Linked DNA regions of Astyanax mexicanus. Each later gene encodes a partner of the first gene's protein in a complex. Links are inferred from orthologs where the notes say so. Each region holds a gene or a part of one and is shown on either strand. Other genes may lie near its edges.

Region 1 (7,145 bases):
GCATATAAACTAATCGTTACATGGTCTGTCCTGTGGCTGAGGTTGCTGTGGTCACTGGGTTTTCAATGCTAGGGTATGGTGTCCTGTTGTTTATAGAGATGCAGTGTTGCCAGGGCCCTCTTACAAATCACTGGTGATTTCATCAGCCTCTTACATACTGCTGCACAGCCTGCTGGGAGGAGTCTATAGGAACGATCAGCAAGCTTCAGAGAAGAGCTGGGTTTAAATTTAATGTCCAGTCTTGGGCAGCTGAGAGATTTCATCACTGGACAACCTCAGTCCACTTTCTTTGGTTTACGATTCTTCCACGTTACTACTCCTATGAAGGTGCCTGTGGATAAAAATAAATGGAATAAAATCCACTGAAAAAGCAAATACTGGCAATTATGTCAAATAAAAAAACATTTATTGTGCATCCCTAACTACGATTATTCTAGCAATTAACCAACTATTTATATTAGTATTATTTTTAAACAAATAAGCTTAACATTTAAAGGGCTTTACAAGTTGGTAAACAACAATGAATTAGGATTAGAAACAAACACTTCATAGTAAAAAAAGACAGGAAGATACATTTAGATAAATAACACTTAACAGTGAATGGATTTTTCAATGTAAAACATAAAAATACATTAATGAAATTAAAAAGAATGAGAATCAAATCTGATTACTAAATGATGGTTTTAAATTAAGTTTAAAATTAATTGTGTTGTAGTTTTTGATGAAAACTTTTGCAAAAGAGAAGTTTAAAAAACAGTATTTATTTGTAGCACCAAAAAGAAGTAGTCTTTTTGCTCAGGTGCAATTAAAAATGTTTACATGCACATAATAATCAAATAATAATATGATAACTTGCTATTAAGAAAATAATTGATAAATAAATCAACGTGTTTACAATCCCTGCAAGAACCTAATAATGAGAAAACTCAAGAGTCTATTTTTGATTTATTATTTATTACAAGAAAACATTTTTATTGTGTAATTAAACTTTTAATTTATCTATAAAGAAATGTATTTTTCTTTACTTACCGACACAGAGTAAAAGAATCAGTGCTGCTACTCCTGGAAGTATGACCGAGTACTCACGAGGAAGAAAGTAACTGTGGATCACATGATCACTGTCTACGAATGGCTGCAGAGAGAGCAGAAGAGATCTGGTTAGTTTTTATGTTGTGACAGATGTCTGTTTGTATCATTATTTGGGTTCAGGATCATTCATTCTTAGTACTGCAGTAAAACTGGCATGGTGGTGGTGTATGAGGTGTTTGTGTGTGTTGTGCTGGTACGAGTGGATCAAAAACAGTTGTGCTGCTGGAGTTTTTAAACATCGCAGTGTCAATGCTGAACTCAGAATAATGATGACCAACACAAACTGTGCAGCAAGAGATTCAGAGCTTCTGTCTCTGACTTTACTTTAATTTATCTACGAGGTTGAGGAGCTACAGTAGGTAGGAGTGTCTAATAGAGTGGAGGACAGTGAGTGAAGAACAGTGTTTAAAAACTCCAGCAGCATTGCTAGGTCTGATCCATACACACAAAATAAGTGGACCTATCGCAGCAATTTTCGAAGGAAATCACTGCAGTCAGTGCGGAATCATAATACTTTGATAAATATACAGGTACAGTGCTGTTTTGTGCCATATTGCCCATCCCTACTCTAATTTCAGGGATGTAGCTACGTCATATATTTTTCAGGCATTAGGGAACACCTACTAAAATGAGTGAGACTCACTGAACTTCCATTATTAGTGGGTCCCCTGCTACTCTCTGCTACTTCTTCCACTAAGCACAATTTCTAATCAGTACCCGTTACTTTCACTTTAGTACAGTTTCTGTGTTAGAACTGAGAGAAGGTAGATAGGATTTGTTTTACTTACCAGCACTATAACCCATAGGGTGTAATATGTGAACAATAATAGACTGAAGCCAACGAGACCCAAACCCACAGCTTGGTCTGCTCCGGTCGCCTTTTCAGAGGAAAAGAGAAGTTTTAATCAACACTAATCAACAGTTACCCTAAATACAGGTAGTTTCATCCTTAGGCTGAAGCATTAAATGCTGTAAGATTTCGTGGGAAAACACTGCACTGACTTTGGACTTTATAATAAAACACAGTGGATCAACACCAGCAGATGACACGTCTCTCCAAACCATCACTGATTGGTGGAAACTTCACACTAGACCTCAAGCAGTTTGGACTGTGTGTCTCTCCACTCTTCCTCCAGACTCTGCTCCTTTGATTTACAAATGAAATGTAAAATTTACTGATGATCAGTGATGGTTTGGAAAGACATGTCATCTGCTGGTGTTGATCCACTGTGTTTTATTATCAAGTCTAAAGTCAGTGCAGTTTTGTTTTCCCAGAAAATCTTACAGCGCTTCATGCTTCCCTCTGCTGACAACTTTTATAGAGATGAGGATTTTATTTTCCAGCAGGACTTGGCACACTGCCCACACTGTAGCCAAAAGTAAGCCATAATCATCAACAATAAAATAAATAAACAATTAAAATAAATCACTCTGTGTTTAATACATCTATATAATATATGAGTTTCACATTCTTAACTGAATTACTGAAATAAAGTAACTTATTTTTAATGATATTCTATTTTTTTAGATGCACTAGTCAGTCAATGATCCTGCTTGTATACCTCAGAATGAGGGGCATAAACACACAAGCATGAGCTCAGTATATCGCAGTACACTAATATACATATCTCATACACTAATAAAAGGTTTATTTTCCAATTAAACGATATTTAAACCAACAATAACTAAAAAAAACAGATAAACACAGTCTAACAGTTATTTAGCTAAAGCTAGCTAACGCTAACTGAGCTCTCAGTGAACTTAATCGGCCCTAAAACTAATTTAAACCTATTTTTAAACGATTTAAAGGCCAGGAAGCGCAAATATATGACCAATTATCATGAATAACTTCATATAATAAATATATTACACTATAATAACAGGATAATCTTCTACAAATCTTCATCTTTCAGCTTACCATCACGAACTCGTCACTCTGCAACGCGTTCTTCCGTTTGCGTCAGGCGTTTTCGGTGTACGTATAACAGGCATTATGGGAAATGTAGTTTATTTGAAATGAGATTTGAAATGACAAAAATACGCCCTCACCACGAGAGGGAGACAACACCGACCCATCGCAATACATCACTGTTCACCTAATACACTTAAACGATTACACTTAAAATACACTTAAACTATTACATTTACAGTACAACAGTACTGCTGTTCTTTTTTCTATTGAGTTTAATTTGAACTAAAGTGCTTTTTTATTTTCTCTTCTTATCAATGTCTTTTTACTGCATTTCTTTGCCTGTCAGACCCTTAATTCTTCTCCTCACTGCTGAAACCGAGACTTAGTCCAATGTCAAGATGAGCTAAAATCGTTGCCATGTGGGTCAGCCAGACCTTTTCCTGTACCAGACTTTTTTCCAGTTTCCAAGAGTCTTTTGAAGGTGTAGGAAACGGTACTCACCGTTGTCATCTGTAATTTCTGTGTGTTCTGTTTCTTTTTCTAGTTATTATGATAAAAATGTGAATGTGCTGAGTGTAAGTGTGTAAATGCTGCAGTACAGAGTACAGTAACACCATATGTTCCAGCACTGCTTTACTTCAGACAAAAGGCTTTGGAAATTGATATTTAAAAAAAAAAAATTAAGCTCAGGTAATTTTCATTGCTACTTACTTAGTTGTAAGCTGTTAACCAATGATTTGTTTGCTAAAAGTCACCCCTGCTATATATATATATATATATATATATATATATATATATATATATATATATATATATATATATATATATATATATGCATTTTTTCCTGTTTTTATCATAAATATATAGGCTCTGACCGTTTACTGCAAAATTTTGTACACTAGAAGGCAGAAAAGAGCCGCCCCTACCTGAAGCTCAATCGACCTACAGCTGATCATGCATTGTAAGCAACAGATCTCGCTTTGATGAGCTTGAATCTACATCATACATTCAATATATATTTCTCAGAAATTCACATTCACAAAAAAAAAAATTAAGACACACTTCAATAACGCTGAAGTGATATTCCAGTTGTATGGAGGGATAGTAAAAAAAAGACACAACAGTGATTTTAGGATGCCCCACATTTGCTTTATTTCCCCAAAAATATGACATTAATACACCTCCAAATACACATTTACATTACAGAATACGAAACATTCATATTTGAGTGTAGAAATATAGTTTAGATCCATCATGAGACATACAGTCATACACCAAATAAAACCGAATGTGAGGTCAAGAAAACTTTGGAAATTATTTGTGTGATCATAAAATAGAAATATTCAAATAATTCTTTATATAATCAGAAAAATAAACTCATCACTTTTGTGGTAAAGTTAAATATAGATACTGCGTTTTCATAGAAATCTGTAATCTTTCAATATATCGATCATTTGTTAATTGTAACCAGTATAGTGGTCAAAAAATGGAGTCTTTCTGTCTGACCCAAGTGCATAGCGTTTGAATCTTTTACAAAATGAGAGAGAAAGAAGACAAACAGCATTAGTTGTGGAGGATTTAGCAGGTTTTTGTTTCTTTAAAGTTAGTATTTAAGTGCCGTTGTGGTGAAAGATATCTTTATTCGTTGGCCGATGATTCTACTCTGGAGATCACAGTGTAGTTTAACATTACGTGTAGAATTAATACTCTCAATCAAAAATGCTGAAAACACACCACGTTAGAGGAGAATTCCTCAGAAACAACGTAAATCAGAGTGAATTACACAATGGCCTTCAAGCGTTCTTACTCTTTTATAATGTAAGATGTAGCAAATCACACAAATACCCCTTATTCCCCCTCATTCGTCCCAATACTCAGTACTTGTCTTCCCACAACAGCATCTTAAATCACGTTTACAGAACGACGTTTGTGAGTGAAAAGAAAGATCAGTCACAGGTTACAGTCCATCACGACTGATACAAGAGGCTCATTTTTTTTTGTAATACAGGAAAATAAAACAAGACAAATAAAATAACAACATTAGCCTCTTTAAGTAGCAAATACATTGATCATTTTCATGCTGTCACAAAGTTTATTAAACATTAAAGACTTACCAGAGAGCGATCTGATAAGAAACAAACACTGTATGTGGAGAAAGTCTAAAATAAACCAGCCTGCTGGTTTGGAAATCCCAAAAAACAGGACAGTGTTAGCGTTAGCATTAGCGATAGCATTAGCATATCGCTCATATTGTTAGCAAGGAGGGCAGTACGAAGAAAGATAGTGAACAGACTGTCTGTCAGAGCACAGACAACAAGAAAGGGTGTGATTATTTTAAATAAAGTCTTTTGATTTAGATTCCCTTGATACTAGTGTAGTAGCCTAAAAACTACAAAAGAAAAAAAAACCTTGTTCACTCAGTGTTCACCCAGATAAGACACTAATTCGATAAATGCAAGCTTAGTGAGATAATAATGTAAGGCAGAGTGAGGCACAATCTAACTCAGGGTAAACTGTAAAATGGATTTTTATGTAGATGAACACATTTAAGCAGAACATTTACTTTTTAGTCTTATTGAATTTCATAATAATGTAATTTGTGAATTAGCTTTAGTACCATAATAGTAGTGTATATTGTGTATTCATACTAATCCCTCAGTTTGGGGGTTACGGTTGGTTACACACACTTGTCTCATGGAGAGTAATTTATTCATTTAAGCTGTAAGCATGGTATTGTTGGTATTGTAGTGGTTTAGGAAGTGTGCTACAGTAACTGTAGTCTTGTTTGCCTCTCTCTCTCTCTCTCTCTCTCTCTCTGCTGTGTAAAAAGAGAGCAACCTACAGTTGTGGTCAAAAGTTTACATACACTTGTAAAAAAACATAATGTTATGGCTGTCTTGAGTTTTCAATAAGTTCTACAACTCTTATTTTTCTGTGATAGAGTGATCGGAACACATACATGTTTGTCACAAAAAACAGTCATAAAATTTGGTTCTTTCATAAATTTATTATGGGTCTGCTGAAAATGTCACCAAATCTGCTGGGTCAAAAATATACATACAGCAACATTAGTATTTGGTTACATGTCCCTTGGCCATTTTCACGGCAACTAGGCGCTTTTGGTAGCCATCCACAAGCTCCTGGCAAGCTTCAGGTCGAATGTTTGACCACTCTTCTTGACAGAATTGGTGCAGTTCAGCTAAATGTGATGGTTTTCTTGCATGAACCCGTTTCTTTAGCACTGTCCACATGTTCTCAATGGGGTTTAAGTCAGGACTTTGGGAAGGCCATTCTAAAACCTTAATTCTAGCCTGGTTTAGCCATTCCTTTACCACTTTTGATGTGTGTTTTGGGTCATTGTCTTGTTGGAACACCCAACTGCGCCCAAGACCCAACCTTCGGGCTGATGGTTTTAAGTTTTCCTGCAGAATTTGGAGGTAATCCTCCTTCTTCATTATCCCATTTACTTTCTGCAAAGAACCAGTTCCACTGGCAGCAAAACATCCCCAGAGCATAATACTACCACCACCATGCTTGACAGTAGGCATGGTGTTCCTGGGATTAAAGGCCTCACCTTTTCTCCTCCAAACATATTGCTGGGTGTTGTGGCCAAACAGCTCAATTTTTGTTTCGTCTGACCAGAGAACTTTCCTCCAGAAGGTTTTATCTTTGTCCATGTGATCAGCAGCAAACTTCAGCCGAGTCTTAAGGTGCCTTTTCTGGAGCAAGGGCTTCTTTCTTGCACGGCAGCCTCTCAGTCCATGGCGATGTAAAACACGCTTGACTGTGGAGACTGACACCTGTGTTCCATCAGCTTCCAAATCCTTGCAGACCTGCTTCTTGGTGATTCTTGGTTGACTCTTGACCATCCTGACCAATCTCCTCTCGGCAGCATGTGATAGCTTGCGTTTTCTTCCTGATCGTGGCAGTGACACAACTGTTCCATGCACTTTATACTTGCGTATAATTGTCTGCACAGTTGCTCTTGGGACCTGTAGCTGCTTTGAAATGGCTCCAAGTGACTTCCCTGACTTGTTCAAGTCAATAATTCGCTTTTTCAGATCCACACTGAGTTCCTTTGACTTTCCCATTGTAGCTTTTGTAGCTGAGTCTAATCACTGGGTCAAATGAGCCCTATTTAAAT
Region 2 (6,833 bases), on another chromosome or scaffold:
TCGAGGTCCGACGGCACTCGCACCACATTTGGAATGAAAACAAAAGACACTGTTAATCAAACGATGATGGTTATGTGGAAAAATAGTCTGTATTTTACATCAAGCCTTAGAGCCCCGAACATTCAGCAAAATATGGAATGTAGACAAAAAAAAACAAGAACTGTGCAAGTTTTGTACATTACAAAGCTTTTTTTTTTTTTTTTTTTTAAACAGTGGACCACATCATGTTCACATTTCACAGCCGTGACCCCTTCAGCGAATTACAGTGCAGTAAACTATAAATCATTCATTAAGAAAAAAACGAAAGGACCTTGGATTCCTTTAACAGACTCTATTAGAAACCAACAGAAACTTATCACTAAATTTAGTTAATGCAGTTGTCTGGACAACGTCCATTTCACTGATGCGAGATAATTGGTGGTCAGGAAGAAAAATGTCTGGTCAGTAGTAAAATGTATCTGATCCGAACTCAACACACACCGCTGTATGAATGCAGACCCAGAAGTTCATGGTAACACAACCCAATACCATTGAGTGGAACAGAACAGTACAGATTACACAATCAGCTCTATCTTAAAACAGTAACAGAGCTCAGCGTTTTTTTTTTGCCGCAGACATTCCTGTGCACTCATGGGTGCACTTCTTGAACACTGTTACCCTATTATCAAACTCATTAAAAATCAGTCTCCCGGTTTTATATCTAGCGGTATTGTTAGCGCGAGGGTCACGCTACAGCTCTCTCGCACAAACATGAAGCCATGCAGTACGGCTGTTACTAACTCTAGAATTGACTGAGAATTCTGACTATGCTAAAAACACTGGATCCAAAAACACAGACAGATCTTCAATCCCAAGCCAGCCCAAATACACATGCCCTGGAAGCTGCACTGAAATAGCACATTCTTCACTGGCATTTTATACATGTTTCAGCAAGGTTTTATACGGACTGTTGGGACAGGAAAAATAAAGGAAAAATATCATCTACATCTGCAGAACATATTTTAGGTCTTAATGTTTTTAAAACAATTCTAGTTTCCACTGCAAGCTCTCAATTTCTGGATTTAAGTCAGGAAGATTTAGCAAACTGGTGAAAACTATCATCACATAATTCATCCATCTATGGCTTGATAACAGTTCAACAATGTTCGTACAGGCTAGATGATTCTGTTGGTTGTTTTTCACATCTTCAGTCCCTTCTTTTTTAAATCAGCTTTGGCCTCTTTTATCTGTGCCTGAAGCTCTTTGGCTGCCTCCTCGCAGTCATTGAAGGTGGCGACTCTATAGCCGACTGTTGCCAGTGAGTAGCATCCAAACACCACCAGAAGGTAGACAGGCATTGGCCAGGCCACTTCCTTGTACACTGCTGGCAACTGCAAGTCCAGGAGGTCAAATGTGACCAGTCCCCATGCAATCCCGATCAGCGACACGCCCAGAAGCCACTGCAGAAGTTTGGTCATGTTGAAAGATCAGGATAACCTAGAGACCAAAGAACAAACAGACAGCAAACCAACAGAGTTAGATGAGAATTTACATGTGTTAGCCTTTCTTATATACTTCATGTGACAATTAACATTAAATATGTAATTACTTTTTGTATCAATTCACACAAAATATCCTAAAATAAAGGTGCAAGAGTGCTACAAACAAGTAAAAGCAATCGCTCAAAACTTTCCAAAACCATTATAAGGCAAGATAAAAATTAGCATAAAAAATTATTTATTATGGATTACACTTTATTTATTTATGGTCTGTCACAGAAATTATTTATATTATTGACTTATTGTACAATATATGGACTTAATCTCAATCATTTTTGCTAACTTCAATGTCGCCAATTGTGTTTATTTAAGAATGTGTGCTCTAGGAATTGCATAAAGTTGTACAAAAGCAGTGTGTAAGACTGGTGGAGGAGAACATGCCAAGATGGAAGAAAACTGTGATTAAAAACCAGGGTTATTCCACCAAATATTAATTTCTGAACTCTTACCAACTTTATAAATATAAACTTGGTTTCTTTGCATTATTTGCGGTCTGAAAGCTCTGCATCTTTTTTGTTATTTCCGCCATTTCTCATTTTCTCCAAATAAATGCTCTAAATGACAATATTTTTATTTGGAATTTGGGAGAAATGTTGTCTGTAGTTTATAGAATAAAACAACAATGTTCATTTTACTCAAACATATAACTATAAATAGCAAAATCAGAGAAACTGATTTAGAAACTGAAGTGGTCTAATTTTTTTACAGAGCTATTGTTTTTTTATTATATTTATGTTTTATTTATTTAGGATATTTAAGCATTTTTAAATACAATTCTTAATGTAATGTTTGAATGTTCTAATAATACTAGAAGTAAAAATAATATGCAATTGTTTTATATTGATGCTATTTTATTATCTGTATATCAGTGGCATTAATTTATCTTAAAATGCCAGTGAGACGATAATATCGCACTGATTTCTGAGACAATAAATCACCCAAAATATGGTTATCATGACAGGCTTATTTATCCCCTCTCAAGTTTGTAGCTAGCATTACTTAGTTATAAGCATTTAACCTGTTAACTAACTACACATATTATATCCAAATTGGAGAGATCCCCGTTGAAACTGATATTAACAACCCATAGAATTTCAATATTCCATGCAAGAGGTATTTTTATCTATCAGTATCTCCTTTAATAGAGAAATATTTCTAATTCTCACAGTAACGTTACTCGCTGACAGTGTGAGTAGTTAGCCGCTGGGCTAACTGTTTAATCAGCTCCCGCGCTGAATAAAGCGCTAAATAAATCACAGATCTGACCCGGCTGTTTAACACACAGCAGGGTAAAGATATTTACTGACAGTAAAAACACACAGAGACGTGTACATGTAATCTCCGGTCTTTATAAACGCCTGTTATTTATCTTACCTCTCAGCCAGCTCACCACTTCAGAGCGCGCGCACAGCAATGACGCCTTTAGCTCGCTGAGGCTGCTGGGAGTTGTAGTTCACCGCTGTAGTTCGAGACGAGTCTGACCGCAGAGCGCAGATTCACTCCAGCAGACCAGCGGCACCGAGAGCACAGTCCAGAGTGATTGTGCTCTACAGACAGCGACTGTTCACGGTCTGATTACTGATCGCTTGTGTATATCAGCATGTGTACAGTCACTCAAAAAGAGTAATTAATTTAAATAAAATATCAGATTCAGTTTAAGCTTGTGTAAATTAGTTTTATTCCTCCTTTGCTTTCAACCTAGAGGTTAAAGTCAAGGATAGGTCAGAATATTTTTATGGAGCTTAAAAGATTAAACTAGTATTTAAATTTGTATTTTTTTTTATATTTCAATTAAATTTGACTTAAAACACTTAAATATTTAATGTAAATATAATACTAATATTTTTGTGTGTGTGTCTTGTCATTGTGAGGTGGTAAAATGTGCTGTTAAAAAAAAAAAAAAATCAGATTTTTTTTTATCTGATCCATAAATCAGAAATACAAATTTAGGCCAGAGGTAAGAAAAATCCAGAAAGATTTGTTGCCTATGGGTAACAGCTAATAGCGGTTTTAATGGGGAAGTAAATTTAATTCACATATCGTCGCTGTCCAATGAAAAACACTTATCTCCAAAACAGCAACTTTACAGGAGAGGGAAAAAACCTTGTAAACTTTCAATGGAAGTCAATGTAAAAACAGTTTATTTCAAGTAATTTTGAAGAGTTTCTATTGGTCCGTTCATCAAGAAATTTTGACACAGTGTAAAAGACAGTTTGTCTGTTCAAATTATGTACTAAACTGAAAATCGACAAAAACGGAGATAAGTGTTTTTCATAGGACAGCAACGATATACAAAATGCAGAATCAAATATTCATATGTCAGCTTTTAGCTGCCATATATTATGTGCAAATAATAATTTCAGTCAATTAAGCCATTATGTTCTTATGGGGTGTTTACATAGCTAACCCTTTAGCTTAACAGCTTACCAAGCTAGACTAAATACACTAAAGTTTGTATAAGAATTACACTGTAAATGTCTAAATAAATAAAGTTTGTTTTAGACTACAAAGGTAATTCCAAGGATTTTGCTTAATTCAGAGATAGCTATCATCAGCTATGTCTAGCTGCTAACATAGCTTACTCTGGCTACATAAGCTAAGCTAAGCTTATGTGCGAGTAAGTGTGTTTTTTACAATGAATGTCTGAAAGCATACAGTCTAAAGTTTCCTTAAACTTAAAATATGGTGTTAGCCAAATACTGGGTATTAAAAATATATCAACAGCCAAAATATGAATTAGCCTAACACTTCTTAAGATAAAGCAAAGAAAGGAAATATAACCTAGAACAGCTGCTGGAGTCAAGCTGCAGCGCCGTGGCTCTGCAGTCAGATATCATTATATGCTGTACTGTATGAGAAACAGGAAAGATAAGATAAATAAGAACATTTCAAAAACTACACTTCATAACCTGGTATAATTCTTTACTGAGACAGAATCCAATTATTTGCCATCAGGAAGTATTTCTGAAAAGCTGTATCCTGCTAGCCTGCCTAGCCTGTTAGTGCTAAAGGGTAAACTTTGATTCATCACATTTTCTCAGTTTGGAAAAGTATTATGTAGGATTTATGTGGGAAGCGTCGTACTTATCAGTAACCTGTACTTATTTTGATGTAATTTTAGTGAAATTCCAGTGCTGAGCACTTCTTTTCTGATTTCCTCAGTGTCAGCTCGGTCCAGGATCTTTGCAGGGGTACATCCGTCCATTCAGTGCTGAGGATGGCGAGGCCTCGACGGGCAGCAGAGGCCGTGACCTGAGTGACGTCCACAAGCAAACTTGATACTCCGCGGGCAACGACTGCCAGCCCCCAACACGTAAACAAAGTCTAGACAAATGCTGGGTTATTCTGGGTGATGTTTATATTTGTGAGAAACCTTTCTTAATGTGCCAGCTCAGCTAGATAACGAGAAACAGATTCAAATACGGTCACCAGTAAAACAGCACGTTTGTATTTTAAACTTTAGTATGCCTAATACAGTTTATCCAAGTAACCAGACTAGTATAAATACGCTTAAATCTATGGAAACTCATTTCCACCTCAAAAATAAGGGTCCTACACTAAGTTATTCAAATAAGTCATCAATTATAAGATACTAAGTCATAATTATGAGACACTAAGGCATTATTTTGATATATTAAGTCATATAAATGAGATTTTAAGTCATAATTATGAGATACTAAGGTATTATTTTGAAATAAGTCTTAATTATGAGATCATGAGATATTAAGGCATTATTTTGAGATACTAAGTCATAATCATAACATAAGACATCTCATATTTATGACTTAGTATGTCATTATTATGACCTAGTATCTCAAAACAATGCTATAGTATCTCATAATAATGAGTAATATCTCATAATTATGACTTAGCCTTTCATCATTCTCATCACACTTGGAAAAATTAATGTCCTTCACTAAGTCAAAATTATGAAAGGCAAAGTCATAATTATGTGGTAGTTACTTGTAATTATGACTTAGTATCTCATAATTATGAGTAGTTACCTCATAATTTTAAGTAACTACCACATAATTATGACTTTGCCTTTCATAATTTTGACTTAGTGAAGGACATTTATTTTTCCAAGTGGCGTAAATGGGCTTCCATATAAACTAGTGTGGAAGTTTTAAGTATTTTTTACAGTACAGCTAGGCTAAATGTGTGTTCAGTTAGAGGAAAAGCTACGAAGGGGCGTAGCTGGTTTAACACTGGAAAATAAGTTTGTTATAACATCATTTTTTTTTAAATCATATAATGATTTACACAAATGTGATTAAATAGCATCCATGCTAACAACACGGAGTATATTAGAGATACTGTAGTGATAACATATTGATAGAATTATTATTATTATTCTGTTAAATAAATATGTTAAACCCATTTTATTTAAAATTGCAGGATTCTGTTTATCTCTCCAGCTCTATTCAGTTCTAATTGTATGATTCTCTGACATCAGTTTGCAGTAGCTCTTGTATCAGCACCAATAGCAGCACCATGATTGCTCAGGCAACCCTAAAGCCAGAAAAAGGTACAGGAATCTACCAAACACCCTGTTTTTTTGTGTTTATTTAATGAACAAATGTGGCTTTGCAGAAATGGTAGCAGAAGCACATTGATGCCATTTATTATAATATTTTGTCCGCACCCCACTTAGGAACACTACTACTTTCAGTTAACAAAAAAATAAATAAATAAAAGCACTGCAGCACAAAATGAACCAAAGTGTACTACTAATCTTTACATGTAATCTAAAAGTAAAAAAATTATAGTGTGTTTTATAAAATAAATACAGTATTGCAAAATAAAATATGACAATACTTTGATGTATCATTTTTTTTATTTTCATGCCTAATCATTTGAACTGAATTGGTAAATAAAAAAAAATAATAATAATAAATACATACATATAAAAAAAGAGAATTGATTTTTCTCTAGAATACTTCCCAGTGCCTTATAAGGATGAATATGTTTAGGTAATAGGGTTATCTAAGTAAAGTACCTTTTTTATTATCGTTAGGACTTTTAACCTTTGTTAATTGTTTTTATTTAAATATTACATTATATTTAGTTGTATCTTGGACAATGTAACATAATTTGGATCTGGCAGTTGTTCTGTACATTGTATAAAAAATTCTAAATGAATGGACCAATAGAAATGTTCAAAAATTATTTGGAATAAATTGTCTTTATGCCTTGATGTCCATTAAAAGTTCCCCTGTCTCTTGTAAAGATGACATTTTGGAAATATGAAGTTTTTGTCTGACAGCAACATTAAACAGCATACAAATCAAGCAG

The links. The genes of interacting proteins can lie anywhere in the genome.
Region 2: dpm2 (region 1) and dpm3 share a complex: the UniProt entries of both Homo sapiens proteins name them as parts of the dolichol-phosphate mannose (DPM) synthase complex. The link is inferred for Astyanax mexicanus from reciprocal best matches to the Homo sapiens genes DPM2 and DPM3.

Annotation. Positions count from the first base shown.
Region 1 is NC_064408.1:13,684,278-13,691,422, reverse strand, and holds the start of dpm2 (dolichol phosphate-mannose biosynthesis regulatory protein), read right to left. Parts: upstream 3,020-7,145; 5' UTR 3,011-3,019; coding exon of another isoform or gene 3,008-3,010; 5' UTR 2,996-3,007; coding exon 2,960-2,995; intron 1,968-2,959; coding exon 1,878-1,967; intron 1,133-1,877; coding exon 1,030-1,132; intron 332-1,029; coding exon 276-331; 3' UTR 1-275. UniProt on the Homo sapiens protein: Regulates the biosynthesis of dolichol phosphate-mannose. Regulatory subunit of the dolichol-phosphate mannose (DPM) synthase complex; essential for the ER localization and stable expression of DPM1.
Region 2 is NC_064410.1:27,956,842-27,963,674, forward strand, and holds dpm3 (dolichol-phosphate mannosyltransferase subunit 3), read right to left. Parts: upstream 3,019-6,833; 5' UTR 2,913-3,018; intron 1,477-2,912; 5' UTR 1,458-1,476; coding exon 1,179-1,457; 3' UTR 65-1,178; downstream 1-64. UniProt on the Homo sapiens protein: Stabilizer subunit of the dolichol-phosphate mannose (DPM) synthase complex; tethers catalytic subunit DPM1 to the endoplasmic reticulum.